Saccharomyces cerevisiae S288C: one gene and its partners. The protein of the gene in region 3 interacts with the protein of the main gene of each other region in a pairwise test. Each region holds a gene or a part of one and is shown on either strand. Other genes may lie near its edges.

Evidence for each region.
Region 1: the proteins of YHL042W (region 3) and YPL264C interact in a protein complementation assay, tested with the Saccharomyces cerevisiae proteins (one large-scale study listed by BioGRID).
Region 2: the proteins of YHL042W (region 3) and YPS5 interact in a protein complementation assay, tested with the Saccharomyces cerevisiae proteins (one large-scale study listed by BioGRID).

The regions. Positions count from the first base shown.
Region 1 is NC_001148.4:42,783-52,006, reverse strand, and holds YPL264C (uncharacterized protein), read left to right. Parts: upstream 1-7,662; coding exon 7,663-8,724; downstream 8,725-9,224. Other genes in the region: APM1 (Apm1p), read left to right, coding at 1-763; CUB1 (Cub1p), read right to left, coding at 1,049-2,704; YPL261C (uncharacterized protein), read left to right, coding at 2,703-3,011; fumarase FUM1, read right to left, coding at 3,205-4,671; KEL3 (Kel3p), read left to right, coding at 5,501-7,456; DIP5 (dicarboxylic amino acid permease), read right to left, coding at 9,138-9,224.
Region 2 is NC_001139.9:3,236-14,115, reverse strand, and holds YPS5 (Yps5p), read right to left. Parts: upstream 5,647-10,880; coding exon 5,149-5,646; downstream 1-5,148. Other genes in the region: alpha-1,3-mannosyltransferase MNT2, read left to right, coding at 1-1,635; VEL1 (Vel1p), read right to left, coding at 2,386-3,006; YGL258W-A (uncharacterized protein), read right to left, coding at 4,721-4,954; YGL260W (uncharacterized protein), read right to left, coding at 7,026-7,256; seripauperin PAU11, read left to right, coding at 7,464-7,826; YGL262W (uncharacterized protein), read right to left, coding at 8,277-8,804; COS12 (Cos12p), read right to left, coding at 10,184-10,880.
Region 3 is NC_001140.6:8,854-19,887, reverse strand, and holds YHL042W (uncharacterized protein), read right to left. Parts: upstream 4,222-11,034; coding exon 3,769-4,221; downstream 1-3,768. Other genes in the region: ARN1 (siderophore transporter), read left to right, coding at 1-800; YHL041W (uncharacterized protein), read right to left, coding at 2,047-2,496; ECM34 (Ecm34p), read right to left, coding at 4,475-4,987; DFP4 (DUP240 family protein), read right to left, coding at 5,616-6,323; PXP3 (Pxp3p), read right to left, coding at 7,039-7,386; seripauperin PAU13, read left to right, coding at 7,603-7,965; ARN2 (siderophore transporter), read left to right, coding at 9,675-11,034.

The DNA of each region.
Region 1 (9,224 bases), on a different chromosome or scaffold from region 3:
TGATAAAGGCATTTTCTCCAAATATTTGGATGATGATACAAATATCCCATCAGCGAGCGCGACAACATCCGATAATAACACAGAAACTGATAAAAAACCATCAATAACATCATCATCGGCCACAAACAAGAAGAAAGTTAATATTGAATTGGAAGATTTGAAATTTCATCAATGTGTCCGATTAAGCAAATTCGAGAATGAAAAAATTATAACGTTTATACCTCCTGATGGAAAGTTCGATTTAATGAACTACAGACTATCTACTACGATAAAACCGTTAATTTGGTGTGATGTAAACGTTCAAGTTCATTCGAATTCTAGAATTGAAATTCACTGTAAGGCCAAGGCCCAAATTAAAAGAAAATCTACTGCAACTAATGTAGAGATATTGATACCGGTCCCGGACGACGCGGATACACCGACTTTTAAATATTCACACGGGTCTCTAAAGTATGTCCCTGAAAAAAGTGCAATCTTATGGAAAATAAGAAGTTTTCCCGGTGGTAAAGAGTACTCAATGTCTGCCGAATTGGGACTGCCTTCAATATCAAATAACGAGGATGGCAATAGAACAATGCCAAAAAGTAACGCGGAAATCTTGAAGGGACCTGTCCAAATCAAATTTCAAATACCCTACTTTACTACTTCAGGTATTCAAGTACGTTATCTTAAAATTAACGAACCCAAATTGCAGTATAAGAGTTACCCATGGGTAAGATATATCACGCAAAGTGGTGATGATTATACAATAAGGCTGACGTAATGTCTGAAAAATATATAAAAAAAGCAATTTCTACGGTGCATGGACAAAGACACAGGGTACGTATGTCCTTATTCCTCTTTTTCTCCCCCCTCCCATTGACAATTATGATAATGACATAAAGTTGTTTATATATTTTTGTTTTTATATAGATGCTCATTCAGGGTTTGTTATATACATAGACATAAGAGAATAACTTTTTTTCTTTCTGTATTTCATTTTATTGTTTATAATGTTTTCCTCTACCAAGAAAATAGGGAGAAATGGAAGATAAAGAAACACTCTCCTCTATTCCTGTTGATATTCAGATTCAGGCTCGCTGTCGTTTGAGTTCGAGTCTATGCCTGATTCTCCGTTGTCATCGTCGTCAGAACCATCACTTGAAGTAGAGTTCTGTGCTTTTTCCTCGGCTTCCACTTTTAATTCATGCAAGATATCAAAACATTCTGCTAATAAAGCATTCAATATACCTTGGCCTTCAGGTATATTGCCATCAGAGTCATAGAATATACCTTCAGTTCTCAGGTTGTCCAATGAAGCCAATTTCATTTGATAAGGGTATAACTCTCTTTCATTATTCACACCTCCCATTCTTTTCAATTCTAATAGGCAACGACGAACTGTAGATAGTTGATTGTGAATTGGCTGCAACGCTTCAGATACGGGCTCTGAACTTTCCAACAGTTTATAAATTATGGCATAACATCTACGCAACAGGTATAAAAGTATTGATTGCCCCTTTGAGTCCTGAGATTTTGTTGGAAACTTACCATTGATTCTTTTGTTATCAATTTCGTTCAATTTTTTTTGGTAAGAAAATAAATCGGTTTCTCTCAAAGTCCATCTTCTTGTGATCATTAAATTTTCTAAGGTAGTCTTTATATCAATCAGCTGTTCATATATTGGCTGTAAATATGGATCTAAAGTCAACCCGCCATTTTTTTGGTGTGATAAATCGTTAACTAAATCATGGCAATCATCCAATAAACCATTAAGGACACTTTGGCCTTTTTCTGCCACCTGATGAGACTCCAAGGACTTGAATTTACCAGAATCGTCACGATTAGATTCTAATTCACTTAATTCGTTCTTCAAAACTGATAATTTCTCATGGACATACTCTTGAGATACTAAATGTTTGTCATCCGTTAAGCTTTCATTGTTCGTTTGCAAATCATTTTGTTCCTGCAATAAAGAGTTGGTATTAATATCAGATTTAGACATTGTTTTTTTAGCAGATGCAACTAATGACAATAAACCTCTTCTAATTCGGAATAACTTTTCCATTACAGTAGACAAAGACGGATCAATTTCCTCCAATTTGCCTTCCAATATATCATATTCGTCCTTGCAATGCTTTAATTTAGCACGTAGTAATAGGTCTTCCTCAATTTTATTCTTTTTCCTTTCGTTGTCGATTTCCCTTAATCGGTCATCATTTCCATCCTCATCGTACGCAGGACTAGAGTTTTTTTGTTCGACAATCTTGCTGATTTCTTCCAGCCTTTCCTTAATAGGACTCAAATCGTGATGGGTGAAGACGTTTGATTCATTTAAATGTTCCAAAAGACTCTCCACAGTAGATAACGATGCATAAGTCGCAGGTGCAGAATTTTTTAGCCCAACAGTTAAAAAACACAACGAGAGCAATTGAAAGACATCATCCAGTACGGAGTCAACTCTATTATGCAATTCAGTACTATGAATCAGGGTGGCGGCGCTCTTAGCGGGCGTCTCATGACTATTCTTCCTAATATCGTCCAACTCTCTGACTTTGGTCAAGACGTGTTGGTAAGTAGTTTGGACATCCTTAGAGTTCAAATACTGGGTCCTATTTTGCTTGAGTTTAGCCAAGGAGGATCTCACTTCAAGGAGGTAGTTTAATATGGATTCCTCTTCCTTAGGAACAATTTGAGGGTGTTGTTGTCCAGCGGATGCAAACATGCTCTTTTTAGACAGTTATTCTCTTCTAATACAATTTCAGCGTTTTAAAAATTGGGAAAGTCCTCGAAGATTTAGTAGTTCTTTTCCTTTGCTTTTGTTTGTTTTTAAACCGATATTTGCTGCTAAACTTCTTAAAGAGATTTGCTCTTCTGGTGTACTCTCTTATTCGTTATCATTTCTGAAAATTCCCCTTTCCGTGATGCGGGTAATACTAGGTCCCTTACCCGACGACAAGAAATTAAAAAATGACGCAAAATATTCATTTATGAACTATTTTATTATAACTTGTATAGGAATAATAATGTAGTGATGTAAATTTATGGGCCCCATTAAGCCATCAAAAATGGAATGTATGCCTATGCTCCTCTTCTGACATAACTGGCCAGAGGCGGGACCTTAGCGGAGGGACCATTGCTGAATCACAAATTCTCTCCACTTCCTTATTTTCCTTCATATAATAAGACATAAAAAACTTGTATATTATTAGGTATTTAGCTCGTTTATTTAGGACCTAGCATGTGTTCAGGAACAACCCATTCATCAAATTCCTTTTCAGTCAATACACCCAATTCCAATGCACTTTCCTTCAAGGTAATGCCCTTCTTATGAGCATTCTTGGCGACCTTGGAAGCGGCATCATAACCGATCTTAGGGTTCAAAGCGGTGACTAACATTAAAGATTTAGTCAACAACTCATGAATACGAGGCTCATTGGCTTTGATACCTTCAACACAGTGCACTCTAAATGAATATGCGGCATCAGTAATTAACCTGATCGAATTCAATAGATTGGCGATCATGACTGGCTTGAAGACATTTAACTCGAATTGACCTTGAGAGCCGGCAAACGTGATAGCTGCATTGTTACCCATGACTTGCACACACACTTGAGTCAATGCCTCGTTTTGGGTTGGGTTAACTTTACCAGGCATGATTGAGGAACCTGGTTCATTCTCTGGCAGCATTAGTTCATGGTAGCCGCAACGTGGCCCGGACCCTAAGTATCTTATATCTTGCGCTATTTTGAAAAGAGAACAAGCAAGGGTGTTTAGAGCACCGCTACATTCGACAATGGCGTCGTGAGCAGCCAAAGCCTCGAACTTATTAGGGGCGGTTTGAAACTTTAGTCCAGTTTCTTTGGAAATTTGCTCGGCTATCTTGACATCGAATCCGGGCTTGGTGTTCAACCCTGTACCAACGGCAGTACCACCTTGTGCCAGGAAACTCAATGTTTTCAAAGAATGTGCCACTCTTTGGATACCGTTCTCAACTTGTTGCACGTAACCGGAAAACTCTTGACCTAGTGTCAAAGGCGTGGCATCTTGCAAGTGTGTTCTACCGATCTTCACAATATGGTCAAATTCCTTGGATTTGGCTTCAAGGGCGTTCTTTAAATTGGTCAACTCAGGTATCAACTCGTTTTGAATTTGCAAACTGGCAGCGATATGCATGACAGTGGGGAAAGTATCATTGGATGATTGAGATTGGTTGCAATGATTGTTTGGATGGACTTGTTTAGATCCAATCTTGCCTCCTAGGATCTCAATGGCACGATTGGAAATAACTTCATTAGCATTCATGTTAGACTGGGTACCGGAACCCGTTTGGAAAACAACCAATGGAAAGTGGTCGTCTAGCTTACCAGAAGCCACTTCGTCAGCGGCCTGTTGAATAGCCTTGGAGATCTTGGGATCCAATCCCCCCAGAGACTCATTCACAATCGCGGCAGATTTCTTCAAAACACCAAATGCATGCACCAAAGGCAATGGCATTCTTTCACGAGCGCCACCAATCTTGAAGTTTTGAAAGGATCTTTGAGTTTGGGCACCCCAGTACTTATCAGCAGGCACGTGTATCTCACCAAATGCATCGGTTTCAGTTCTGAACGAGGAGTTCATTCTTCTTATATTAAGCTTATATGACGATTTTACGAAAGTCTTGCAACTACAATTGGTAAATCTCAACATGATTGTATCTCTTATCCGTTTAATAGTTAGACTTTATGGAATTTCTTGACGTGAGAAAAAAAACAGCTGCAGTACTAAAAGTCACGAATTTAAAAATGCAAAAAAATGACTGTATGTAATGGAGAAACGATATGAATATCCCAGAAGAAAGAGCTAGAGTCACTCCCCCGTGTGTTCGGTCCGGCCTCCTGTTGGATGCTTGTTTAACGTCTACAACAGTGATGAAGATTATATATAGCCTATAAGAAACGCAAAAAGGCTTTACAGGAAAGAGCCAATCATCGAACGCCCATTCCGGGAATCGGGGTAGTCATTCCGAGGATCGGCTCAGGGGAGGGGCCTGAAGCCTCTCCAATATGGTAGTGATAGCAAGAACTAGAGACATTTACTGCTAGCTTCCATAGCTCTCTAACCACAGGGTACGAATAATAACCATTATTAGGTACTGACATTATGATGTCGCCCGCGGCGATTCGGAAGGGTTTAAGGACACGTCTTAACAAATGGCATTACAGAATGGCTATAGGCGACTCACTACTATGTATTGACTATGTAGGAGATACCAAGCTTTGCTTTACGAGCCCTCTTTACTTTTTTTCTTGTATAGTTATAGTTAATGTAGTAGTCGCAATAACTGCGGTAGTAGTACTAACATCAGTAAAAGTAACGCTTGGTAGTTTTTCTGCCCGGTTTAACCATTGATTTGATGAAATTGTAGAAAACTGAAAAAAAAAAAAAAAATGAAAAAAAAAAATGATGAGCTTCTCGAAGAATACATTAACCACTTATAGGAAGGAGAAGAGATCTACTAGACTCGTAGAAGTGATTAATGGCAAAGAAGAATAAGAAGGATAAAGAGGCCAAAAAGGCACGTGCTGAACTGAAGAATCAGAAAAACCAAAAAAAGCAGGAGAAAAAGTTTCAGAAGAACAAGAATAAGTCTTTAAACGGCGAAGAAGATGATGAAAGTGATCAAGATCTCGATGAAATTCTCTCTAGCTTTAGCAAAAAGCAAATTGAATTAGAGCATGTAGACATCACTTCTGTGGAAAAACCCTCTTGTCGTACTCATCCGTTGATGTTTGCAAATCCGCAACACAATAAACATGAATTGTTCATTTTCGGTGGTGAATTTACAGATCCAGAAACCAAACTAACACATTTCTATAATGATTTGTATTCATACTCCATAAAGAACAACTCTTGGAAAAAATACGTTTCGCAAAATGCACCTTTGCCCAGATCCAGTGCCGCTGTCGCTGTGCATCCTTCCGGAATAGCACTGTTACACGGTGGTGAATTTTCGTCCCCAAAACAATCTAAATTCTACCACTATTCTGATACATGGCTGTTTGACTGCGTTGAAAGGAAATTCACTAAGTTGGAGTTTGGCGGTAGAGACTCTTCACCCAGCGCCAGATCAGGTCATAGAATTATTGCTTGGAAAAACTATTTCATATTATTTGGTGGATTTAGAGATTTGGGGAATGGTCAAACTTCTTACCTAAATGATTTGTGGTGTTTTGATATCTCAACCTACAAATGGACCAAATTGGAGACAAACAGCAAACCTGACGCTAGATCGGGTCATTGTTTCATTCCTACAGATAATTCTGCCATATTAATGGGTGGTTACTGTAAAATCATTGCCAAAAATAATAAAAATTTAATGAAGGGAAAAATCTTGAATGATGCATGGAAACTGAACTTAACGCCTGATCCAAAGAAGTGGCAGTGGGAAAAATTAAAGAATTTCAAGAACCAGCCCTCACCAAGAGTCGGGTATTCGTTCAATCTATGGAAGCAAAACAAGTCCGTTGCTTTTGGTGGTGTCTACGATTTACAAGAGACAGAGGAATCCTTAGAGTCCGTTTTCTATAACGACCTATATATGTTCCACCTAGAGTTGAACAAATGGTCTAAACTTAGAATTAAACCTCAGCGTCAAACGAATAGTAAAAATTCACCCGCCACAAGTAAAAGAAAATCTAATAAAGATCAAGAAAAGGAACTGCAGGATTTACTAAATTCCATTCTGGCCAAGTCTAATCTAAATGACGACGACGATGACAATGATGACAACAGCACAACGGGTCCTAACTCTATCGATGACGACGAAGATAACGAAGATGACAGTGATTTGGACAACCAAGAAGATATTACCATCTCAAATCAATTACCTCACCCAAGATTTAACGCAGCAACTTGTGTAGTGGGCGACTCGTTGTTCATTTACAGTGGTGTCTGGGAACTGGGCGAAAAAGATTATCCTATAAACTCATTTTATAGTATAGATTTGAACAAGTTGGATGGTGTCAAGGTTTACTGGGAAGACCTATCTGCCATCGAAGAAGCAAAGAGACTAGGTGATAGAGATTCGGACGAAGATGAGTTTGAATACGAGGACGATGAGGAGGATGAGGACGACGGCGAAGAGGAACAAGATGCAGGACCCCTTGAAGGTGATGAAGATGAGGAAAGCGAGAGCGACGATGACAAACAAGCGCAGATGGAGATTCCAGACGAAAGGTCTTGGCTACCACACCCAAAACCGTTCGAAACTTTAAGAGCATTCTACTTAAGGGAAGGTGCAAATTTCTTAACCTGGTCTATTTCTAACAACAGAAACCTTAAGGGTAAACAGTTAAAGACGAAGTCATTTGAGTTATGTGAAGACCGTTGGTGGGAAAGAAGAGATCAGGTGACCCTTGAGGAAGAGCGTCTGGAGGATACAGGCGGAATCATTGAAAGAGATACGACTACTAAACCTTCCAAAAGAAGGTAAACATTTTCGCTTTTGTAGTTGAGTTTAAAAAGTATTTATAGCATTTTTTTTTTTTATAGATATCTGTCTTCCATATGGCATCCTTTTCTTTAGTCACTAATTGAGTCATCTGGAAAAAAAAACAAAGGAGACAGGGAAAATTATCTCATTATTACATTCACGAAAGCTGCCCCAACAGAAAAGTAGAATAAACACCTCCTCTCTCAATGACGCTGCAAAGAATTAGTAAAGATTATCTAAAGCCTAATTATGGACTTATCTTACTTATAGTGTCTTATTTTTTCAATTCTTCTATGGTAGTTTCTACCAAAGTCCTAGAAAATGACCCACTGGAAACTTCGCAATCAAGAATTAATCCTCTGCAAATCCTGCTAGTAAGGATGTCTATCACGTACTGTTGTACGCTAGTATACATGCATTGGAATAAACAAAGTGTTCCAGATATTCCATGGGGCCCAGCACCATGCAGGAAATGGTTGATACTCCGAGGTATAATGGGTTTTTTTGGTGTTTTTGGAATGTACTTTTCTTTAATGTATCTAAGTATAAGTGACGCTGTCTTAATCACCTTCATGTCGCCAACCCTAACCATTTTCCTTTCATTTTTACTGCTGGGTGAGCCATTTAGTAAACTTGAAGCCTTGGGGTCCCTAATTTCATTTTCTGGAGTGGTGTTAATTATTAGACCTACATTTTTGTTTGGTGAGCAGACCCAAGGCCAGCAATCTCCACAAGACGATATTGTTGAGACTCAAAATCCCAAATTAAGACTCATTGCTATCGGGGTGAGTTTATTGGGGGTTTGCGGATTGAGTAGTGTTTACATTATCATAAGATATATCGGTAACAAGGCACATGCCATCATGAGTGTCAGTTATTTCTCGTTGGTTACTACTGTTGTGGCAGCCCTCGGTGTGCTTCTAATTCCCTCGATGTCTTTACAACTGCCTCATTCGTGGAAGCAGTGGGGGCTATTTCTGAACTTGGGTATTTCTGGATTCATTCACCAAATTCTGTTAACAATGGGAATCCAGAGGGAGCGTGCAGGAAGGGGTTCGTTAATGACTTATACTCAAGTTATATATGCTGTTTTCTGGGATGTCGTGCTCTTTCACCACTGGCCAAACATATGGACGTGGTGCGGTATGGCAGTTATCGTTAGTTCTACTATATGGGTCATTAATATGAGAGCCTCCAAACAAAACGTTGTGGCTACTGCCGAGCTACTCTCCACATCGGACTTTGAATTAGATGATTTGGAGGATTAAGTGATACCTGTACACTATGGTTCCATGTTGCAGGTGGCTATATTTGAAAAGTCTCCACATATATGTTAATAAGATCGATTACTCCACAAACAGAAAATAACGAAGACTTGAACTTTTCTTATTTTTATGTTTTTGTTTATATTTTTGAATTTAAACTGTTTTATAGAAATGTATGTAATATATAAATTTTATTTTCCTTGAAAAAATGGGTATTTTTCTTTCTATTTTTTCAAGAAAATCTTCCTGTAAATTAATTATGCAATAATGCTGTGGTAGGACTGGAAATAAAAAATGTTGATAACGATTGTTATTAAAGGTAAAAGAAAAATGATCAAAGAGAAATTCTTGTGCTCATTTTTTTGATTGGATGAATATAGTTTCATGTTGCCCTAAGGCTTTGATTAAAAAGGCATCTAGAAGATATTACCCAAAAATTTTTCATAGAACCACTCCATATTTTTACCGTTACTTTTTAAACGCTCTTCCTTTTCTTGGTCCTT
Region 2 (10,880 bases), on a different chromosome or scaffold from region 3:
GGAATTGTGTTAGTAGTATATTACTCTCAGTTGAATTCGTTAGATTTGGTAGAACCAGTTCAAAGTAGCAGCAGTGGCAATGGTGGCTGCTGGAGTTACTATGAAGGTCTTACGCCTGGGTGGTTGAATGACTTCTACGACGTAAATCAAATAACCCCGAATCCTGCAAAAGATGTGATTGAACTGGTTACGAGGATTAAGATTTTTTTTAATTGCTTGCAGCAGGTTGATGGGCATAATATTCAGCGTTTGAGGGATATTGAAAAGAAGCTCTTTCCGTATATTAACTTTGAAAAATTAGAAACTGATGAAAGTGCCTTCTGGCACACAACTACGAGATGGAATGGCGAGGTTTACCATGCGTCTATGTTGGAATTTGACCCCAAAAACCATCAATTCCTTCGTTCTAAGCCCATCAATTTCGATACAGGGCTATCTTTTTGGGAGAATTGGTTGCACACTGTGACTCAAAGTGGTTCGAAAGGCATAGTTATTAGTGCTTCTGACGTGCAGTTGAATGAAACCATACGCTTATTGAAAGTGTTGAGGTTCATCAAAAATGATTATCCTATACAGATTGTTCATAATGCAGATCTGAGTCAAGATTCCATGAAATCTATTATCAAATATGCGAGAAGTCTAGACACCGCTGAATATCCTGCTCAAGAATTATGGTTTTTAAATGTACATAGTCTGCTAAACCCGAAATATTCGAAAAAATTTACCACCTATTCCAACAAGTGGTTAGCATTGACCTTCTCATCCTTTGAAATTCCTATTCTAATGGACTCAGATACAGTGCCCTTTGTTTCAATAGAAAAATTTTATGAATTAGAGGAATTTCAAAAGACTGGAGTTCTATTCTTTAAAGATCGGGTAATATCAGATGATCTATTTGAATCCTCTGAATTAAAAATTCTAAGGGAAATTGTCTATGGGTGTATTGGGCTTGATTTAGAGGATGAATCCAAGATACATGAGCAAGTAGAGGATCCAGTGGTTGCACAGGTTCTGGAAAACATGTTTATAAAGAAATATAAACATCATTTGGAAAGCGGCCTGGTAATATTGCATAAAGGAAAGCATCTCTTCAGTATGCTTACTTCAATAGCTTTACAATTTTCTCCAATTGCAGAATATTTTCATGGTGATAAGGACTTTTTTTGGCTGGGCGAATTACTTTCGAACAATCGCTTTACGTTCCATCCTGTGGATGCATCAAACATTGGTCAGTTGGGCAATGTAGTTTCAAAAGAGAGTACCGGTGAGTTTTACCAGATTTGTTCTGTGCAACTATCTCATACAGACAGGGACGGGTCCTTGCTATGGCTAAACGGGGGCCTTAATATTTGTAAAAAAACTTCATGGGAATACGATTATGAGCATAGACAGAGACTAAATGATATGTTCCAAAATGCAGATGAATTACGTGAATATTATGCATCACCAGTAAAACTTGAAGGGATTATAATACCAGATACTAGTATATCAGGATGGATTAACTCAGGAGAGTGTTTTTTGTTCAATTATTGCACATTATTCAAGGAAGGTGAGTTTGGAAAGTTGATCAAATTTAAAGAAGACGAAAAGCTCCGGCTTTCACAAATAGTCGACATATGGAATAAAGATATTTGACCAAGAGTTGTTCTAGTCTTATAAGCAATAGGTAAACCTACACGCTTTTGTTGTATAATGTAGTATAATTTTTGATATCTGAAAAATTATCGCACTGAAGTATAACGTAATGTTTTGTAACGAAGTTACTCTTTAAGTAAATCACTCTTGGCATGCATTGGATAACATAGCCATGATGCAACGCCAGCAAAAATCCAAATTGATTGCAATAGGGAACTATGAAAAATCTGGTACTCCCGGCCACGCTAAAATGATTTTCCACTAAGGTGTTCCTAAAACCTTTCGGATCCTTTATGTCTCTGGCATCATAAATGTCTGTTTAAATTAAAGTATATTGAATTGGTGTTGAAATTCAGCATAATCGAACCACTCTCATGTGGGATGTAGCATCATTCTTAACGCTTTTACTATGCGATCGCCACTTTTAAATGTTGGAAATTGTGAATAATTTACTTTTATCTTGTAGGCAAACCGATCATATTCTGCAAAATTTTGAAAATCCATATCTAGATGCACTGTATTGCACTTTTATATTATAAAGAATTATATGTAATAAATCGACAATAAATAACGCATCGTAACAAAAAGAACTCGAAAATTTTAAATCAGGGTCAGAAGAAAGTAGAAATGCCTAAAGGAAATCGATTGTACTTTACAGTTAAAAATAACTTCCGCATGGCTTTCTCAAAAGATTTTTGTCTATAACGAAAATAATCAAAACATATCTATAAGTGAGGATGTGAGAAAAGATTAATCAAAACCAGCTTCTGGTGGACAAACGGCCTTTAGCTGAATGGCGGTACAATAATCTGGTAATGTGTCATCCTTACCGAAAATATTCACAGCTGGGGTGCTTAAGATAACAGAAGCAAAATTTGGGTAACAGGAAGCAACTTGAACGCCATAATCGGTAGAGTTGAACAATTGGTTAGCTAAACCGGTTATGAAGGAAGCGTTATCAGCAGTGTCTGCCCAAGAGTTATATTCAATTTCACCAGTAACAGTGTTAGCAAAAGGAACCATAGCGTCACCAATGGATTGAGGGTTACAAGTGTTGATATTGGTGGTGAAGATGAGTGGAGAAAAGTTCTTTGTCTCGTTACTAGCAATAGTAGTCAACTTTGGGAGGAATCTTGTTTCCTGGCCCAAATATCTTGCCCAAGCATCACCAGCGCTTTCAGTCAAGACGTCGGCGCCAACAAACGTAGATTGACCCAAAAATGTACCGTTTTGACCAACGACTTCCATAACGTAGGTACCACAATGAGGTCCATGTAGGCCCTTACAGGTAACGTTAGTCAAATCAAATCTGACGGTTGTTGCAACAGAAATAAGGACGCTGAAAAAAGTAAAAATGCTTAGGAAACTCATGGTATGGTTGTTGTTCTTGATTTCTTGAGATTGTACAATCTATCAGAAGCAGTAGCTCTCCATTTTGAATGAAAATTACGATGCTTATATATCAATTATACCTGTTATATGCTGAAAACCTTAATGATAATATTAACCTTTTTCTAGCAACTGAAAATACAGATCTGGAATATGTTTCTATATTTCCAACCTCAGCGGTTATTCGAAAAAAAAAATAATTGACCCGCAGGGTGTATAGGTAGTTGATGAAAGTATCATTGTTTTTAATTTATTGTTAAAAGTCCGAAAAGCGAGAATGCATGAAATTACTACCTTCCATTCCAGGAATAGAAGCAACACTAATTCAAAAGCCCGTTTAGGAAAGATCCGAATATTTTGACAGTAGTACGTAATGAATAACCACTCAGGTCATACTAAGACAAATTTTATAACATTTTAATGTGTTCCTGATTTGATTATGCAACACTTTTTTTGACCCAGTCCAAAAAACTGCCGTAATGTACTTCATTGGTTGTCGTACAAGTAAGCTTTAACATGGTTCTCGAAGTCAAAGCACAAACATGCGGCCAATAGGTCAAAATAATGGTAAGATACTGCAAAACTCACTTCACTTGATTGAAAAAAAGTTGCTTATTTCATGACGGACAGATTTAATTCTGGACAATTTGGTTCTGTTGAATTCGGAAATGCTCAGGGTTCATCATGCCATAGTGCCACTTCAATAGAAGACAATACCTTTGAGAAAAAAAGGTACCTTGCATGAGGTATGATGCACGGGTGCACTGTTTAAAAAAACTTCAAAGTATACATGTAAAGATCGCTATAGCTGAGCGGCCAATTAGAAAATATATGGTAAAAGAAAGAAGAAGTATTAATATAAGCGAGATATCTCAATTGGAACATTTCATATACGTTTTCACTGTAATAATTTATCAAGGACTCTCCGGAAATTTTGCGATTGCCCTCAAACTCTACGGAAGAATTTTACACTTGTAAAACTCATCACATTATCTATCGTAGCGATAATATTTCCAAAAATGTATAATCCTTCCTTATAAGTTTATTATTTGTATATGAAGCCGCAGAGTACAATGTAATAAATACGAATAGGAGATAGGACCTATGAGTATAACTCGTATTACCACTATAGCTCCTCTTGTTGTCTATCAAAAAACTTGCTGTCTTACACAGTAGTACAATGCGAAACTATATGGCTCTTCTTTAATTATGAAAGAAAATAAGATGTGAAGCACAGCAATGAATAGGAAAAAGAAGAACGATATATGCAACCTTTTTTTTTTTAGGGGCCATTTTGCTAGAACTGCCCCCACTTGGGAAAGAACTAACACCATCGCCTTGCATTCCAGTGACAAGCAATGATGTGTACTGTGAAAATTCTAAATACGAGGTTCAGCTGACATTAATAAAATCTCCTGTCCCGATGGAGCTATCAGACTTATATACCGACATACTGGAGTATCCTGGAGCAAGGGGTGGCGCTGGGACACTATCGGAGATAAACTCAATATATTAAGTCATTCAAAGTCGACACACAGTAAAGTATCCTGACTTTTGAGCAGTCAAAAGTGTAGCCTTGATCATCAGAGTTATATTTCTCATTAAAACTCTTAATAATCCAATTTACAAATTTTGTAGGTAAACAGAATATGTACCGGAATTTAATGGCACTGGAAACTGAATATCTACAACACTTTTACCATACAAGTTTGCCGTCCAAAATTGCAACACTCTGTACTGTGATAATTATTCTTGAGTTTGAATCAAGGGTATTATAAGCTTGACGCATAGGATGTGTGCAGAGCTCTTCTGCGTACTTACTTTTATCGACTGCACCGAATAAGATGCTCCCAAAGTGTACATTAGGTCCATTCAAAAATAAGGAATACGATATCTTCTTTTCGATCTTTCCTTGTCTTTCAAATGCCATTAGAATTCTCATATACGAAGAGTTTTCTGTTCAAAGCAAATGCATTTTCAACATTATCTGTAAATTCTGCAAGGGGAAGGGATATGCCTAAAATGCCACTTGGATTGCCCATTTTATAATTTAATAGGCCAACAATGATATTATTTAAGGTGAAAAATTCTTTAAAGAGACAACGTCCGTACCATAGGTTCCTTCTAATACGTATATGTCATTGAAGAAAGTCGCGTTATTCTTAAAAGTAGATGAGTTTCTTGCATTGAATTTACCCCTATAAGAGCGGACAGTGTTATAAGCTCTGGTGAGGTGGTAGTAGAACGAGGCCCAGTGAATGTTGCCGTGAGTTCGTAATTATCAGTTGAAGCGTAGTCAGATCCGTCAGACATCGATTTGCAATAGGCAATGTCAGCATTATTCACAATCATATCTGAAGAGCCAGTATCTAACTGTAGGTACACCGTTTGTGGAGGCGTTCCGATTTCCATCTTGACAACATACACTCCTATTCCATTTATCACTGTGGTGTTAAGAACCTCATTTCTTTTGAAGACGGTAGAAACATCCTGTGTGCCTATATTTATAATATCAGCAAACTTTTGAACAGGAAACTTAACATAGGAACTTGCGGAAGACCCTAAAACGGTCAATGAACACATCAATGATGACAACAAAGAGAGGATGGAAAACAATTGCATATTGATAGCGTTGCGTTGTCTTCAAATATCCTTATTTTCGAAAGAGACAAAATTTAACAACTGATCAACCAATGAAAATAGAGAACAAGGAAGAACGATGAAAAACCTTATTCCAAGATCATAACACCTTATATACTCTCAACTTTGAAAGCAGTTCCAAAGCTTAAATCCTCGAAGAGTACTGCTTGCATGAGGTTTACGCAACAGGTCTAGTCAGTTTTAACTCCTCGGATATCTCTCGAGATATTTTGCTATAGTGAGCGATAGGGTAGCAAATTTTTGGACCCTTAACCCCTTATACAAATTACCACCATATGTCCTTTTCTGCAGCGAAAACCTCGGTGTTGTCAGAAACAATTTAAGAAAAGCACAGGCGAAATTGGGCTTGCACTGGGTGATCAACAATGCCAGAAATATATGAGAAGCTTTTTACTCTTGCTTTTGCTTCTTCCTCTTTTTGTTCAAGCCAGCCAAGCTATGTTATAGTGTTGAATGTCTTGAACCGTTATAGTTTCTAAATATAACTTTACATTTTGTTATGCAATCTTCATCATCTCGAACTTTTCAACAAACGTTCAACAGTGATGGTCTTCCCCAGTGAACCAAAAGACATATGACGCTCGTATGGTATGTTAAAAACAACATAGAGGATAGTAGGTCGGGGTTTATTGTAGAAAGGACATAAATAGTTGACGTGGTAAATTTTCATCAACTAAAGCCACATCTATTTTGCCAAGTAGGAGATAATATAATATGTAGAGGGATCGAGATTTACTGAAGCCTCACGTGAGGGCAATCTGGAATCAGATTGCACTGGTTTGCACCATACCTCTCAAAGAAGAAAACGTACTACTTTTTTAGTTGAGTATGAATAGGGTAGTGTTTCCTAAAGTTATAAGGTAAAAGGGGCAGAGGAAAAGTCGATAATAATTTGAAAGAAACTTGCTTCCATATTCACAAAAGAGCTGGATACTTCATGTCATCTGCACATATATCTACAAAAATTTCAGCTTTTTGAGGTTGATACTAAGTCTTTCGCTACCAAAATGAAAGAAATCAATTTGGAGAGACTTAGGCTGAATATTTCCGCGTTCTCTCTGGGAATGAAAGATTTCTTACTGCAAAGAGTTTCAGTATTTACGAATTGGTTACAATTTTTTTTTTTTATCATACACGATTCTTTGAACATCAACTTCTCTCAAAACCATCCGCCTTCAGCGGCTACAATTACGTAATTGCACCAAGGCATTCGCGGAGAATTCACAAATTTGCAGACGCCAACAGTATACGACTCCCAACACACGTTTAATGTTGTACGAATTCAAGAGATAGAAATATTTCTTGCATGGAAGCCGTTTAGAACAGACTGAGTATGGGCTTTAACAATAAGCTTCTGTACGAGGGTCCAAATCTAAAATTCGGATATTCTTTTTGACCGAAAAAGGAAATGTCACAGGCACAGAAAAGGGTTTTATAAGGCACCTCGGCACCCTATAATTGGCATTCCCACATTCTGCGCATACGAATACACATGAGTGCCATAATACAATACTCCACATACGAAGTCTATGAAAGATGTATGATTCGTTCAGAAACAAGAGCATCTCCATAGTGATAATGAGATTGTGTGAAAGATGAGATATGGAGGATATGTGAGGTGCTAAATGAGCATCTGTTAACGAATCGTTTAAGTAGTGATGACTGATAGAGGAACGGGTATAAATAGAGCTGCTTCAACTGTATGCTTTTGAGAATATATCTTTATTTCTTTCTTTCCTGTTAAGCTTATACCAGCACTAAAAAACAAAACAAATACAATGGTCAAATTAACTTCAATCGCCGCTGGTGTCGCTGCCATCGCTGCTACTGCTTCCGCAACCACCACTCTAGCTCAGTCTGACGAAAGAGTCAATTTGGTTGAATTAGGTGTCTACGTCTCTGATATCAGAGCTCACTTGGCTCAATACTACATGTTCCAAGCCGCCCACCCAACGGAAACCTACCCAGTTGAAGTTGCTGAAGCCGTTTTCAACTACGGTGACTTCACCACCATGTTGACTGGTATTGCCCCAGACCAAGTGACCAGAATGATCACCGGTGTTCCATGGTACTCCAGCAGATTAAAGCCAGCCATCTCCAGTGCTCTATCCAAGGACGGTATCTACACTATCGCAAACTAGAGACAAACGCCTTTACGAACGAAATTCTATAGACATTGGTAAGTAACGAAAAATAAAATATAGAAATAAAAAGCTCTTTTTGATGATATAAATACAAATTGTAGATAAGTGTAATATAAATAAAAGATCTGACCATATATTTAAGCCGGAAAAAAATCCCAACACCAAAATAAAATGTAGAATAGATGAATAAATAAAATTTTCAATTATAAAAATAGAAAATAAGTTAAATTTGACGGCTCCATTTCTATTAAAATTGAAAGTATATGTGAAAAAAAATCATGCTAGGGATGTCTCTCACAATTCAAAAATCTAGGAAATAAATTTAATTATTTGATATAACATTATAAATCGTCAACAGAAGCTTTTTCCTAAGTCTTAGTAGTCAATGCTTTCAATATTTGCGCATCTTCTTTCATTGATTTAAAGAAAGATTGAAAATGTCTGGCTTTATAACTTTAACATCAAATATAATGATATCGTAGTAAGGTTAACCTTTTTTTTCCAATATTTCATAACATAATCGCAGATGGCCTTTACCACAATTGTATCAATAACCACAAGCTGTCTCTTCGCATTGAGCACCATCTTTGTTGTCATTACAGAAGCCATCAACCCCCCATATGTGTTAAAATATAATTCACCGTGGACAGCATTTTCATCTCCAATGTCAGAGTAATTCTCTTTATATCCTGGATCAGGATTATCAGTTACCGACCAGTAATATTTCCACCCTGGATTATTTGCGAACCAACCGAACATGCATTGATCGTCCTCCTCCCCAAGGAGGGGCCTACTTTTTTTTACCTCTTTATTAAGATCAACATTTACATTGTCCCAATTCCATGATATCCAATTGACGTCAAAATAGCTTATGCGTCTCTGCAATGAATGTGCCCCAGAAAGAGTATCTGGTAGCGATCCAGGTGTTTGAACACCTATTATACTGTTGACCAATTCAGTCACATTATTACGCATGTGAGTGGCACATGAAGACCCAACTGACTACTAAAATATCAAACATGCTGCATTTCTGTAACTGTGTTATTTTGTTCTCTCTTTTCTAAGCCATTAGCCTTCTATGTGTTCATATAGTCAAATGCTCCTGATAATACAAGACCAACTGTTTGCATGGTGGTGTTGATTGCAGTGAAATTACGAGGACTTGAAGAATGGAAGTCTAATCCAGCAATAGTAGCAATATATCCAGTAGATCTTTTTTGCCGCTGCTGCCGTCAAAGCCGCTGCCCCAGCAATCGTATCAGCAGTGGTAGCAACTCCATCTAAAGCATCTGCTACCAATGTAACTACAGCTCCAGTCCAGCATGAGTACTACCTGAATCTGCTGTACATTTGTTAGCGGCGTATGCACCGGAGAGTCCTGCTAGCGTAATTGAAAATCCACTGGCACCACCTGCTAACGCCCAATAGTAGTTTTGCCTTTCATTAGATAACTAGTCACCACAGGTGAGGCAATTACCGTAGTATTAACTATAGCTTCTGCATCTCTTGAACGAAAATAATAAAAGGAAACAGCAAATACAAAGATGAATAGCAGTATATTGCGTCTCCAAACTCTCCAGCAGATCTGAAAACGCTTAGCGCCTATTTTCTCTTGACCAGTCATGAACGTTAATTTCTGAAAAGGATCTATCTCCCGCTGGGATACTGCTACGATATTTCTGTATAATAAAAACTCTTGGAGAAAAGCAGTCCTTTAAATAGTGAAAGTTCACCGTAAGATTTCAACAGGTGTTTCGCCCCTACTCAAGCGATAAGCAACGCACAGGTTGAACGCGAGATATGTTAATAAAAGGCAGACAGATGTCGGTAATAATTATTACGGACATTATTTTGAAATATTAACTCAACCGTATGAACCAAACACGACGATAGCTGCAATTTCTTTAATGCGTACTGTATAGCAACGTACATCAAGTAAGAAAACGAAGTACTCCAAGAAAATGTTAATAGTAATAAAATTTATTATGGGTAACTCATACCTTAACGCAGTACTAGAATATACATTCGTTACGCGTTTGGTCTTGAAATAGTAATAATATCTTTCACGTAAGGTGTTTTACAAAAACTACCGCATTTTCTCTCAACAAACGTTAAAGGATGTTGGTATGAGGAAAGAAAAACGTATAAAACTGGTTACGGTATGAGCTTCAAGGAAGCTTCAAGTAATCTCATGATATGGCGACCGTACAAGCACGTACTGTGTAATTTTATTACGATGTATAGTGGCACTCTACAGACTTCATCAAATATTGCATTATCTACTAATGTTTAAACTTGGGTTATTAACAGCTTTTTTTTGGTCTTTAAGAATAGTATATCAATATCTTTACCAATTACACATCATTGCAAGCTGATTGTGCTTCTTTTATATATGGCCAGAGTTCAAAATCAGTGGAACCAACTGACAAAGACGCTTGCGAAGATACAGGGGTACTGAAATACCATTTAAAAAACTTTTCACAATCAATACCATCTGAGAACAGTATTGGCGAATTCCAAATTTTCTGCTCAAACATGTAAGTATTCGTCCTCTTCGCAATTTGAGACCAATTAGTTGCATCAGACTTCTCGTGTCCACATGTAATATATGACAAGAACTGTAGTTTATGTATCAGATTCATTGATTTGAACCTGAATTTGTCGATCCCTATTAAATATTCAATTATCATAGATGAAAGAACTGCACATACATAGAGGATATGCAGTGAATTTCTTAGTCTTGGTATAGTAAGGAGACCGTTTAAGTAAGCAATACTGAAGAACGCAAAGCGTGAATTCATTATTGTCACTTCCTTGAAAGCCCAGAGAAGTTTGGAACCGTAACCATGTTTCGAAAATTGAACACTCTGTGTGGTTTTATTGTGTAAAAATCCTTCAGAATTAATCCAGTGCCATTTTCTCTCTATCTGTGTAAAATAAACCTGCAAAGCTTTTTCAGTGTAACAAACAGATCCGTCAGGTACCTTGGCATTAGCAAAGTCATTTTTTTTCAAGGAAAATGGCTCAAGAAGCATCTTTCTGAACGCTTCT
Region 3 (11,034 bases):
CTTCTATGGGTATTTCTTTCCTGATTGATTTTATTTACTATATGGCCGCTGATTATTTGTACACGGTTATGATTGTTGCCGTCAATGAATCCGTTAAATCTGCAACCAGAATTGCCACATTATCTTCATTTGTCTCTACTGTGGCCTCTCCATTTTTCGCTTTACTTGTAACAAGATGTACGAGATTGAAACCATTCATAATGTTTGGATGCGCGCTATGGATGGTGGCTATGGGTTTATTGTACCACTTTAGAGGTGGAAGTCAGTCCCATTCAGGTATTATTGGTGCATTATGTGTCTGGGGTGTGGGCACTACTTTGTTCACTTACCCAGTTACCGTCTCTGTACAATCTGCCGTCTCTCATGAAAACATGGCGACAGTTACAGCTTTAAACTATACCCTCTATAGAATTGGTTCTGCTGTCGGTTCCGCAGTTTCCGGTGCCATTTGGACTCAGACTTTGTACAAACAAATTTTGAAGAGAATGGGTGATGTTGCTCTAGCCACAACTGCCTACGAATCTCCATATACTTTCATTGAAACCTATACTTGGGGTACCCCACAAAGGAATGCCTTAATGAACGCTTACAAATACGTTCAAAGATTGGAAACTATCGTGGCTTTAGTATTTTGTGTTCCATTAATTGCATTCTCCTTATGTCTAAGGGATCCTAAATTGACTGATACTGTTGCTGTGGAATACATCGAGGATGGCGAATATGTCGACACGAAAGACAATGATCCAATTTTGGATTGGTTTGAAAAACTTCCATCAAAATTCACTTTTAAACGGGAATAAGTTGATGTTTACGTTGCATGATTGCTTGATATCACTTTCCATGACTATATTGCCCAAAATATACGGTGTCACCTCCTACTTTTTCCTCTCTACAAGACTCTACCATTCTAATGATCATAACCAAGAAAAGAAAAGATCAGAAATGTCTAGTTCTTTGCATATTCCTTTTACCATAACAGTATATGCATATCTACATGTATAGTGCGGCACTACTTAATATTACGTAACAGAGTAATATCTTTACTTCTTTTGTTCTGCCTGTTTATAACATCGATTGGCCAGTTGTCTCAGCACTTGCTTCATAACAAGTGAAAAATTAGAGGCGTTGAATAATTATGTACCTTGACTTTGAAGTCGGTTATCATAAGTGCTTCGAGAAGAGATATAAAGACAAGATAAAGTGTTATGTCAACTATGGTGAAAAAGGAAGGGAAGACAGGCGGTCGCTGAATCTTAAATCCACTCGCCTTTTTTTCTTTGTTTTTCCTTGGCAAGCCTATCCTTCCAGTCGGCTAAGCCCCATTCCATTCAGCTTGTAAAGAGATAGTATGATTTACTTGTAGTCTGGGATGACAAGAGTAGAATACTCGCAGTGATCACGGTTTGCTGCGTGTGTTCACTAATTATGATGTAATCACCGAGCAAACGCATCAATGCTTTCGAAAAAGAAAAAAAAGTAGCTAAATGTAGACAAGGTTGAACCATAAACGGTATTCACATTGGCTGACGTCGCGCTTTCCTTATTTGTAAAACAGAGAAAAGGGCTGATAATACGCTAAACGAAGGCAAGAAAATATCCTGTAATAGAAGTAATTTACATCGTTTAACATGAATGGCGAGGCGTAACCATCACGTCACTGGCACCTTTTCCATAAGCCCATAATGTTTATTTGTGCCTTTAGAAACTTTCCCCTTGAGTCCAACGTTATAACGTGCCCTCGTAAAAAGAAAATCTTGTAAATAACTCTTTTACAACATACTAGGGCTACTGCCAATAATAATAATATCCAGCTGTTTGTCATCCCAAGGCAACTATAAAATTTTTTTCTTGTGGCCTTTACTTTTTTTCAATATCGAGGAAATCGCAGCAGGTTTCCAAATGCAGGCAAAAACTTAATAACTTCGTCTTCCAAAAACAGAGAGCGAGAATTAGAAATAACCCTTTTCTTTCTATATTTGGAAAATACTCTGGTATTCTCCGGTTTATCTACTGTAAAAAAGGGGGTCCGGTATCTTGATATCTCGTTTATTTGCCATATGAGGATAATGTTCTGAATGTGGTTCTCATATTGCAGAAACGATAGACCGCATTAGGATGTAATAATGCATCAATTTCCTTTTCATCGATCGATCTTTGTGTTAAGAACGACATTAATAAATTATTTCCCATTTTGGAAGGAAGAGGGTAGTGAAACAGTAAAATATTCTGCGGCAGTTTCTCTAGAACGGAAGAAACCTCAAACATTGTAACTATAATTTTTTGCTTGGCTAAGAACATTGCGTAGGAAGCGATGAACAGCGGAGTTTTTATTTTATGCCCGCAAAAAAAAAAATGTTTCCAAAAACTTTTCCAGCCAACATAGATTATTCTGCACAAGCAACTAGTAAAATGAATAGAGAGATGCAAAAATGGCAATAAAATATGCCTTAGAAAACGCAGTATTGTTGTTGACTTGGCTATGCTATACAAATGCATTCTACTGCGCCCCTCTACTTGTAGAAATAAATTATTTTCTCTATATTGCCTGAACTTACTATTTTTGCCTTTCTTTGATCATATTTTTTCCTTGTTTGTATGAAGTGCATATTTACGGAGAGAAATAAAAATAAAAATAACTATGATTTCTCATTTCCTATGTGCCTAGCTGCATCTTTCATACAAGATTGCAGAGAGCTTGATACTTAGAAAACTGCGCGCATTCAAAAAGATTAGTAGTGTAAAAATGAATATTTCAACTCAATCTTAATTTGGCCCTAAAAAGTTAATATATGGCATTCTTGTAAAAATTACGTCATCATTTATATGAGCATTCTGCCAAGGAAACATGTGATTTGTTTCTGTTCACTGCTTGATTGCACTACGCCAAGAATTTATTAAGTGGTTGGCCTCTATAGGGTGCCTGAAGCCTAAAGTAAGCCTTTTCATATGTTGTAGCAAGTTATCTTAATCTTTCACTTGCCTGTCTTCGTAATCTCTTCATCTACCGCTTTTACAGATTCGGACATTGGCTAGATTGTCCATTGTAAGGGATTGAAAAACATGAAAATTATTACCATGTCTTTTAGTTTTACAGTTCCCGCAGTATAGTTCGTGCTGAAATCGGATATGTGCGTATAGAGATGCGCTATTTGCGCAGAGTTAAATTGAACAGGCAAAAAAATAATTATGCGCTACTGATGTGTGTGATCTGCACTGTGGCCTACCAATGTATCACATATGCACAAAATATGGTGCCATTAAAAGGGACTGGTATGCTATGTAATAAATTCTTCCTATTCATTAAACTCAGATCGAAATGTAATATGCCTTGGACTAAACGGGTGCAATTGTAGAAAAAAAAACATAAAACATCCGAATTAAAAGGTTAAAATCGGCGCAATTCAGTAAGAAAAGGGACTTTTGGAGTACTTCCATTTTACACGAGCAGTTACTAAACAGTTTTTTATTTTGAGCACCACTAGCACTTAACCTTAAAACATAATTAGAATTTTCTATAATTTTCTACAGACACTAAAGCCAACGCAGAAAGCTTGTACAATACGTGTGTTATAAACGTAAACACCTTTCTTGATGCCATATAGTCTTGTGGCCAGACCAGAAAAGGCTGCGAAGTGAAACGTCAAACTAATTATCAGGTAGTATCATAAGTCTATTACGCACTGCTGTTTATTATTATTTAGGTTAGCGCTATTAAAAACATGTCTGGCTGGCAGAATTATTTTTCAAACCAAAGGCAAACTTCAGTAGTTAAATCAATTGCTTACCAGCACAGGCAATGTCGGCTTTTCTGATATACGGCAACAATTCAGCAATTGGTAGGTCAGGATGGGAAGACTTTCTTGAGGGTAGATAACGGAGGAAATTACGTTCGAAAAAGCGCTCACAATCTGCTCCATCTAAGAAAAACACGTCTGAGCCGGAAACTTTCTGCTCAAATAAGTATACATTCATCTTCTTTGCGATTTGGTCCCAACAATTCACATCCGATTTCTGATGTTCACTGATTATAGTTGACAAAAATTGCATTCTATGTTCCACTTTCATTGAACAAGATCTATTCATTTCAAAGGAGAACCATTCCTGGGAGCAAACAAGTACGACAAAAAGGGCAAGAGTAAAAAAAAAGCCGAGATTTCTTGGAGAACGGATACTCATGACGAAGAATATAACAGTTGCTACTTGAGAAAAACGCTGTTTCATGACTTTCTTGAAAATATGAAATAATTTGAAACGACATGATTGACCAGGAAGTTTGATATTTCCAACCGAAATATTGCTTAACAATTGCTGAGAAGTATTTAAATTCCACTTTCTATCCACTTCTGCAAAATATACTTTAAGGGCTTCTTCAATATAAGGGTGTTTCCTAAAATATTCTATTTTATAGTCGCCGTCAATTCTTGAGGAAATCCATAGAAGGGTTCTCCTAAATGCTACATGGCAGCTAGAACCATCAACAAAAAAAGTATTCTGTGTTCCAAAGTTTATTTTCGTACATATAAGAGTTAAAATCCGCTGCAACACGGTCCCAGCTTTCCATATCTGTGCTTGGCGCACTTTTAATAATTTCTTTGGCAAACTGAGTGATTTGTTTCCCGAAGGTGCGTTCACGATACATTTTGAAAGCTTCCCATGAGAAAGACACTGCTAAAGATATAACTAAGATAACGATGGTCGAATGACGCCTCAAAAAACCTGGATTCCGTTTATGTTTGGTTTGGGGGCCGTCCATGTTTGAGTCAGATGGTCTTCTACCACCGATGCCTGAAAAAACCTTCCAACCAACAATGAGCGTTAAACATAACAATAACCAAATATGGAATGCTGACCTATTGATAACTTCATAGCAATACCAAGTAAAGGAACTTCTGAATACATTCTTTGGTAGTTTGGCATTGGAGGATTCAAAGACATCACAGGCTAAAGCGGCTTCGTTCTTTTCATCTTCACTTTTGCGGCCCTCCATATTTGTGATGATATCGTCCCGGTGACATTTTTTTGCAGTTACAACTTCCTTGTAGTTCTTTTATACAGCTCGTAAATTCATCTGTATCTGTAAGCTATAAAATGCCGCACAAAGTGTGCGTACATTATGCAACAACATTATTGTTGAAATACGAGAATAAGCAGAAACTGGCTCAAAAATGGACAATGCATGCTCGATGTTCGAGGTTCGACACAAAAGATGTGAAGAGAGGGCATCGAAACGTTTATATAGTCCTTACGTAGATAATTTGCAAATAATCGCTGCGCTGAACTTGGAGGACAGCTTGAACCTCCGACACAAGCCACAACTTAGAAGCTGCCATCTAGTTTTATAAAGCATTAAACTTATACAGTAAAAGTAATATTGTAACATTACATTATAATAGTGTTCCTGTTGCCATTTATAAATTTACGGAGGCAAACATCCCACAAAAATACGAGTACTTTTATTATACGAGTTTAAAGTTAAGCCACATATCCTGATACAGAAAGGAAGCTCACTTATAATCTATTCAAGAATATTCAATGACTTTTCCAAATACCAATATCATTTCTTTGTACTGGATGCGTTATAAAAAACTAAAGTAGAACCTAGAAATACCTTCCAATCAAACTGTGACCCCCATCTCTGGATACTTATCCTCCCAGTACTTGTCAACAGAGTTCCTGAAAACGGCCAATGCTTTAAAAATATAAGTGCCCAATTCGATGTGTAATGAACTATTACCAGAATCGTTAATGTTGGTTGCTCCATTACTTCTCATCTCCAGATCAGCATATATACTATTCATATTGGAATTCACAAGGTACGGGGTAGCCACCAACTTTTTAAAAACCTGATAGCAATAACTGCCATCGTAGAAAAAAGATCTATCTGCACATATACGACGGTCATATACAAATTGGTTCATGTCATATGCAATCCGGTCCCATGTGCTCAAGTCCATGTTAGGTTTATGTGTAATGACTTCCGCTAATAGTTTGAACTTACAATCATCATCTAAACATCTTAACTTATATCTTGAGCAGCTTAAGTAAGGTAAGAGGAGTAAAAGGAATAGTGAAATTGTAATTAGTAAAGCCGCTAAGATAATAATCAAAGTATTACCGTGTGCAGATAATGCCAGGCGGTTTAAGATTATGGTAATAATAATATGGATGAAAATATATGAAATGAATACGATATTCTGTTTTAAGAAATAAGCGCATTTGCTGGGGGTTATGTCCCTTGGAAGGATCACTGTCTCACCTTCGCATAATTTTCTTAATCCTTCTGGTCTTGGTTTAGAATTAGATATTAATAATTCTGAACTCATAGCCTTAGCGGGCCCTCACTTGCTTTTGAATTTGTCTTTATACCACAAGTTAACAATTACATTTTCTATATCCTTTTTATATTGTTATAATTCGGGACTTAAAAGCGGGAATATCTAGAACTGGGAGGATTGCATCATTTTTCTTGGCCCGTATGTTTTTCTTCGAGTTTTGGCCGCAAGACGAGTAAGAAGAGGACAGAAATAAGTATGTTGCATAACTTTTGTAGAATTTACCAGAAAAACTCCAATATAACTTACTTCATTATGACATATAAGCTAGATCTTGATTTCTTTCGTCAACATACTAAAGCACGCTATCGGAGACTTCTTCAAACCCTTTCTTATGAGAACACTTAGCTGACTGTACATTTAAGAAGCTTTAGAGATGAGCCGTCACCATGAATATAGCGATGGTTTTGTCTACAAGGAATACCAACTATTAATACCATTTCCTACAGAAAGTTTTTAATTGAATAAAATACATTAGCGCCATATATTGCCTTTTTCACTTTTCTTTATATCTAGCTAGAAGAAAAATACTGTGCCTCGAAGAATAAATTTTTCCCACCGCACAGAGTTGTAGTACTGCTACAAACTGAACTCAACATTTTTTTTTTACCATACGCGGCTCTTCCAATACTAGCTGCTTCTCAGCGGCCTACAATTACGTAATTGCGTCAATGAATTTCCTGAGAACGCTTAAAAACTACAAACTCTACAAATAAGCGACTCCCAATACACGTTTTCTATTTTTAATTAAACTATCAGGAGAGGGATAATATAGTATTACCTCTTCCATTGGAGGCTGTTTACAGCAAATTGAATATGGGCTTAAACATAAGAATCTGTACGAGGGTCCAAATCTAAAATTCGGATATTCTTTTTGACCGAAAACGGAAACTTCAAAGGCACGGAAAAGGGTTTTATAAGGCACTCTGGCACCCCTATAATAGGCATTCCCACATTCTGCGCATACGAATAGACAAAGGCCCCAGAAAACAATACCTTCGCATACGGAATCTATAAAGATGCATGCCTCGTTTAAAAACAATAACATCTTCATAGTGATAATCAAATTCTGTGAAAGATGAGATATGGAGAATATGCGAGGTACTAAATGAGCGTCTGTTAACGAATCGTTTAAGTAGTGATGACTGATGAAGGCATGGGTATAAATAGAGCTGCTTCAACTATATGCCTTTGAGAATATGTCTTTATTCCTTCCCTTCCTGTTAAGCTTATATCAGCACTAACAAACATAACAAACATAACAAATACAATGGTCAAACTAACTTCAATCGCCGCTGGTGTCGCTGCCATCGCTGCTACTGCTTCCGCAACCACCACTCTAGCTCAATCTGACGAAAGAGTCAACTTGGTTGAATTGGGTGTCTACGTCTCTGATATCAGAGCTCACTTGGCCCAATACTACATGTTCCAAGCCGCCCACCCAACTGAAACCTACCCGGTTGAAGTTGCTGAAGCCGTTTTCAACTACGGTGACTTCACCACCATGTTGACTGGTATTGCCCCAGACCAAGTGACCAGAATGATCACCGGTGTTCCATGGTACTCCAGCAGATTAAAGCCAGCCATCTCCAGTGCTCTATCCAAGGACGGTATCTACACTATCACAAACTAGAGACAAACGCCTTTACGAATGAAATTCCATAAAACTTAAAAAAACAAAAAAAAAAAAGCTTTTTTTTTTGATAGTATAAATAGTTGATTATATTAATGTATACCAGTATTATAAAACCTACTTGATTATTCATGCCGTTCTTATCAGAAGTATTTACTGTAGTGGTAAAATATAGTGCCTTGATAATCCAATAGTCTTGTCTGTCTAAAAGGCTTCAGTTGAATACCTTCTTTCGTACATGTTGCTATTTCAGGGTATCGGGCCGGAGCATTTACCATTTGCGGCGTAAATGCTAAAGTTAATAAATCTGAGTCTTCCTGTTTTATGAGTCAGATGGAGGTGTAACGCAAAGAGTAAGTTAATCACAGAAAAAGGTTAGTATCCATTACATATTTATGTTATAGAACATATATGCGTATAGAGACAGAAAAATTGTTTAATAATAAAATCACCCACGCTTGCGTAAGACGTCCTTGAAGTCTTAATTAGTCCAGCTATAGTTATTAGCTATACCAATTGAAGAACCAATCGGTCGAGCGTTTTATATATCAGTAGAAAGCAAGCCTCTTACGAACTTGAATTTGGTACTTCCATAACTACATAATCATTTAACCCTTGCTTTACACTTGCCCAAAACTCTTAATTTAAAGAAAATGATCAAGTCTTAGATCAAGAGATGGGATATATGTCAATGATCGAATCATGCTCGACTAGGAAATAAGTCTGTACCGCGTAGAATCCTTTACTGTTTGTTTGAGATGAGCTTTAAACTTGAATTCTCTATCCACTCAACTGGGTAACGCTACTGAATAACTTGAAAAATGAAAACATTCACCTCAAAAAGCGCAGCGCCCTTTCTATATAAATATTTCCATTGAAAAAAATGTATAAAGAAGCAAGAAGTATGATATATGGTTTATAGTCATTCACAGGCTGAATAAACTTATGCAGGGCGGTTGGACTCCCCTTGTCCAAAAGAAAAAAGCCTCGTTTTAGCATCTTTCTTTTTTTTTCATATATATTGAGTTGTCGACAACCTACCTAGCAATATTTTTCCTTGTTAATTTAAATTATGTGAGTCCAATGATCGTCTTTTATTAAATTCTAAAGGTTTCCCTCCCGTCCGGGATCATACGAAACTTTCCTGCAGATATTAAATTTCCCTGTCAGGCCGGGTTGTGTGCAATCCGTTCTCCCTCTACCTTTGCTATATACAAACACCCGGTATATAAGCACCTATCTCAAGCAAGCAATCAGAAAATGGGTGCAGTTCTTAGTTCACAGTAAGGAACAAAAAAAAAAGAATAACTTTGAGCGTCCGTAGGGCTCCGTGCTTTACCAGTATGTCGTATATATCTTTAGAAGCAAAGCTGTGGCTGAAGTGATGGGTCCTGTTATGCCAGTAACTTGCACCTGCTTTAAGAAAACGGAATATACTTTCAGAACGTAGTCCGTAACAACCCTACTGGAGTTTCTGTGCTCCGATTCCACAAATCTAAGACAGTTACTCACTAATCTGCACAGAAGCTGAAATGATACAGCTTTTCACTAAGGGCAAGTTAAGAAGATAACGTGGTGAATTTTACCCAGTAGCCTTTTTACACCTTACTTTTTTCTATAAAGACATGAGATCCTGGTAGAAGAACTTTGCTTGTGTCCTTTCCACTTGAGCTCCAAAAACAGTTGTAACTCTTTGGGCCAAAGGAAATATGATCGAAGTCCCAGAAGACAATCGTTCTAGCCAAACAAAGCGTAAGAATACTGAAAAAAATTGTAATGAACTGATGGTTGATGAAAAGATGGATGACGATTCGTCGCCCAGAGATGAAATGAAAGATAAATTAAAGGGAACAAAATCATTGATTATTCGTAAGTCTGAGCTAATGGCTAAAAAGTATGATACTTGGCAATTAAAAGCTATATTCCTGTTTTCTGCATTCATTTGCACTTTCGCTTATGGATTAGATAGCAGCATAAGGGGTACATATATGACCTACGCAATGAACTCGTACTCCGCACATTCTCTCATTTCTACAGTAAGCGTCATAGTTCTAATGATATCTGCTGTTTCACAGGTGATCTTTGGAGGGTTATCAGATATCTTTGGAAGGCTAACGTTGTTTCTTGTATCCATTGTACTTTACATTGTGGGTACAATAATTCAATCTCAAGCATATGATGTCCAGAGGTATGCTGCTGGAGCTGTCTTTTATTATGTGGGACTTGTCGGTGTTATGCTACAGGTTGTTTTGATGTTGTCTGATAATTCTTCATTAAAATGGAGGCTATTTTACACATTGATACCTTCATGGCCCTCGATTATCACTACGTGGGTCTCAGGTAGTGTAGTGGAGGCAGCAAACCCGTTAGAGAACTGGTCGTGGAATATTGCTATGTGGGCGTTCATTTTCCCTCTATGCTGTATCCCATTGATTTTGTGTATGCTCCATATGAGATGGAAAGTAAGAAATGACGTGGAATGGAAAGAATTACAGGATGAAAAATCGTACTATCAAACGCACGGATTAGTACAAATGCTGGTACAGTTGTTCTGGAAGCTAGATGTTGTCGGTGTGTTGTTGTTTACTGCTGGTGTTGGTTGTATTCTTGTACCACTCACTCTTGCTGGTGGCGTCTCTACAAATTGGAGAAATTCAAAGATTATCGGGCCCTTTGTGCTTGGCTTTGTCCTGGTTCCAGGCTTCATATATTGGGAAAGTCGACTTGCTTTGGTTCCTTTCGCTCCATTCAAGCTGCTAAAAGATCGTGGCGTGTGGGCCCCATTGGGAATTATGTTTTTTATCTGCTTTGTATATCAAATGGCTGCTGGGTATCTCTACACCATTCTAGTAGTTGCGGTAGATGAGAGCGCTTCCTCAGCTACAAGAATAATAAACTTATACTCTTTTGTGACTGCTGTTGTTGCTCCATTTCTGGGGCTCATCGTTACGAGATCATCTAGATTGAAGTCGTATATTATTTTTGGTGGCTCACTTTATTTCATTACTATGGGACTATTTTACCGCTACAGGTCAGGTCAAGACGCCGATGGAGGTATAATTGCTGGTA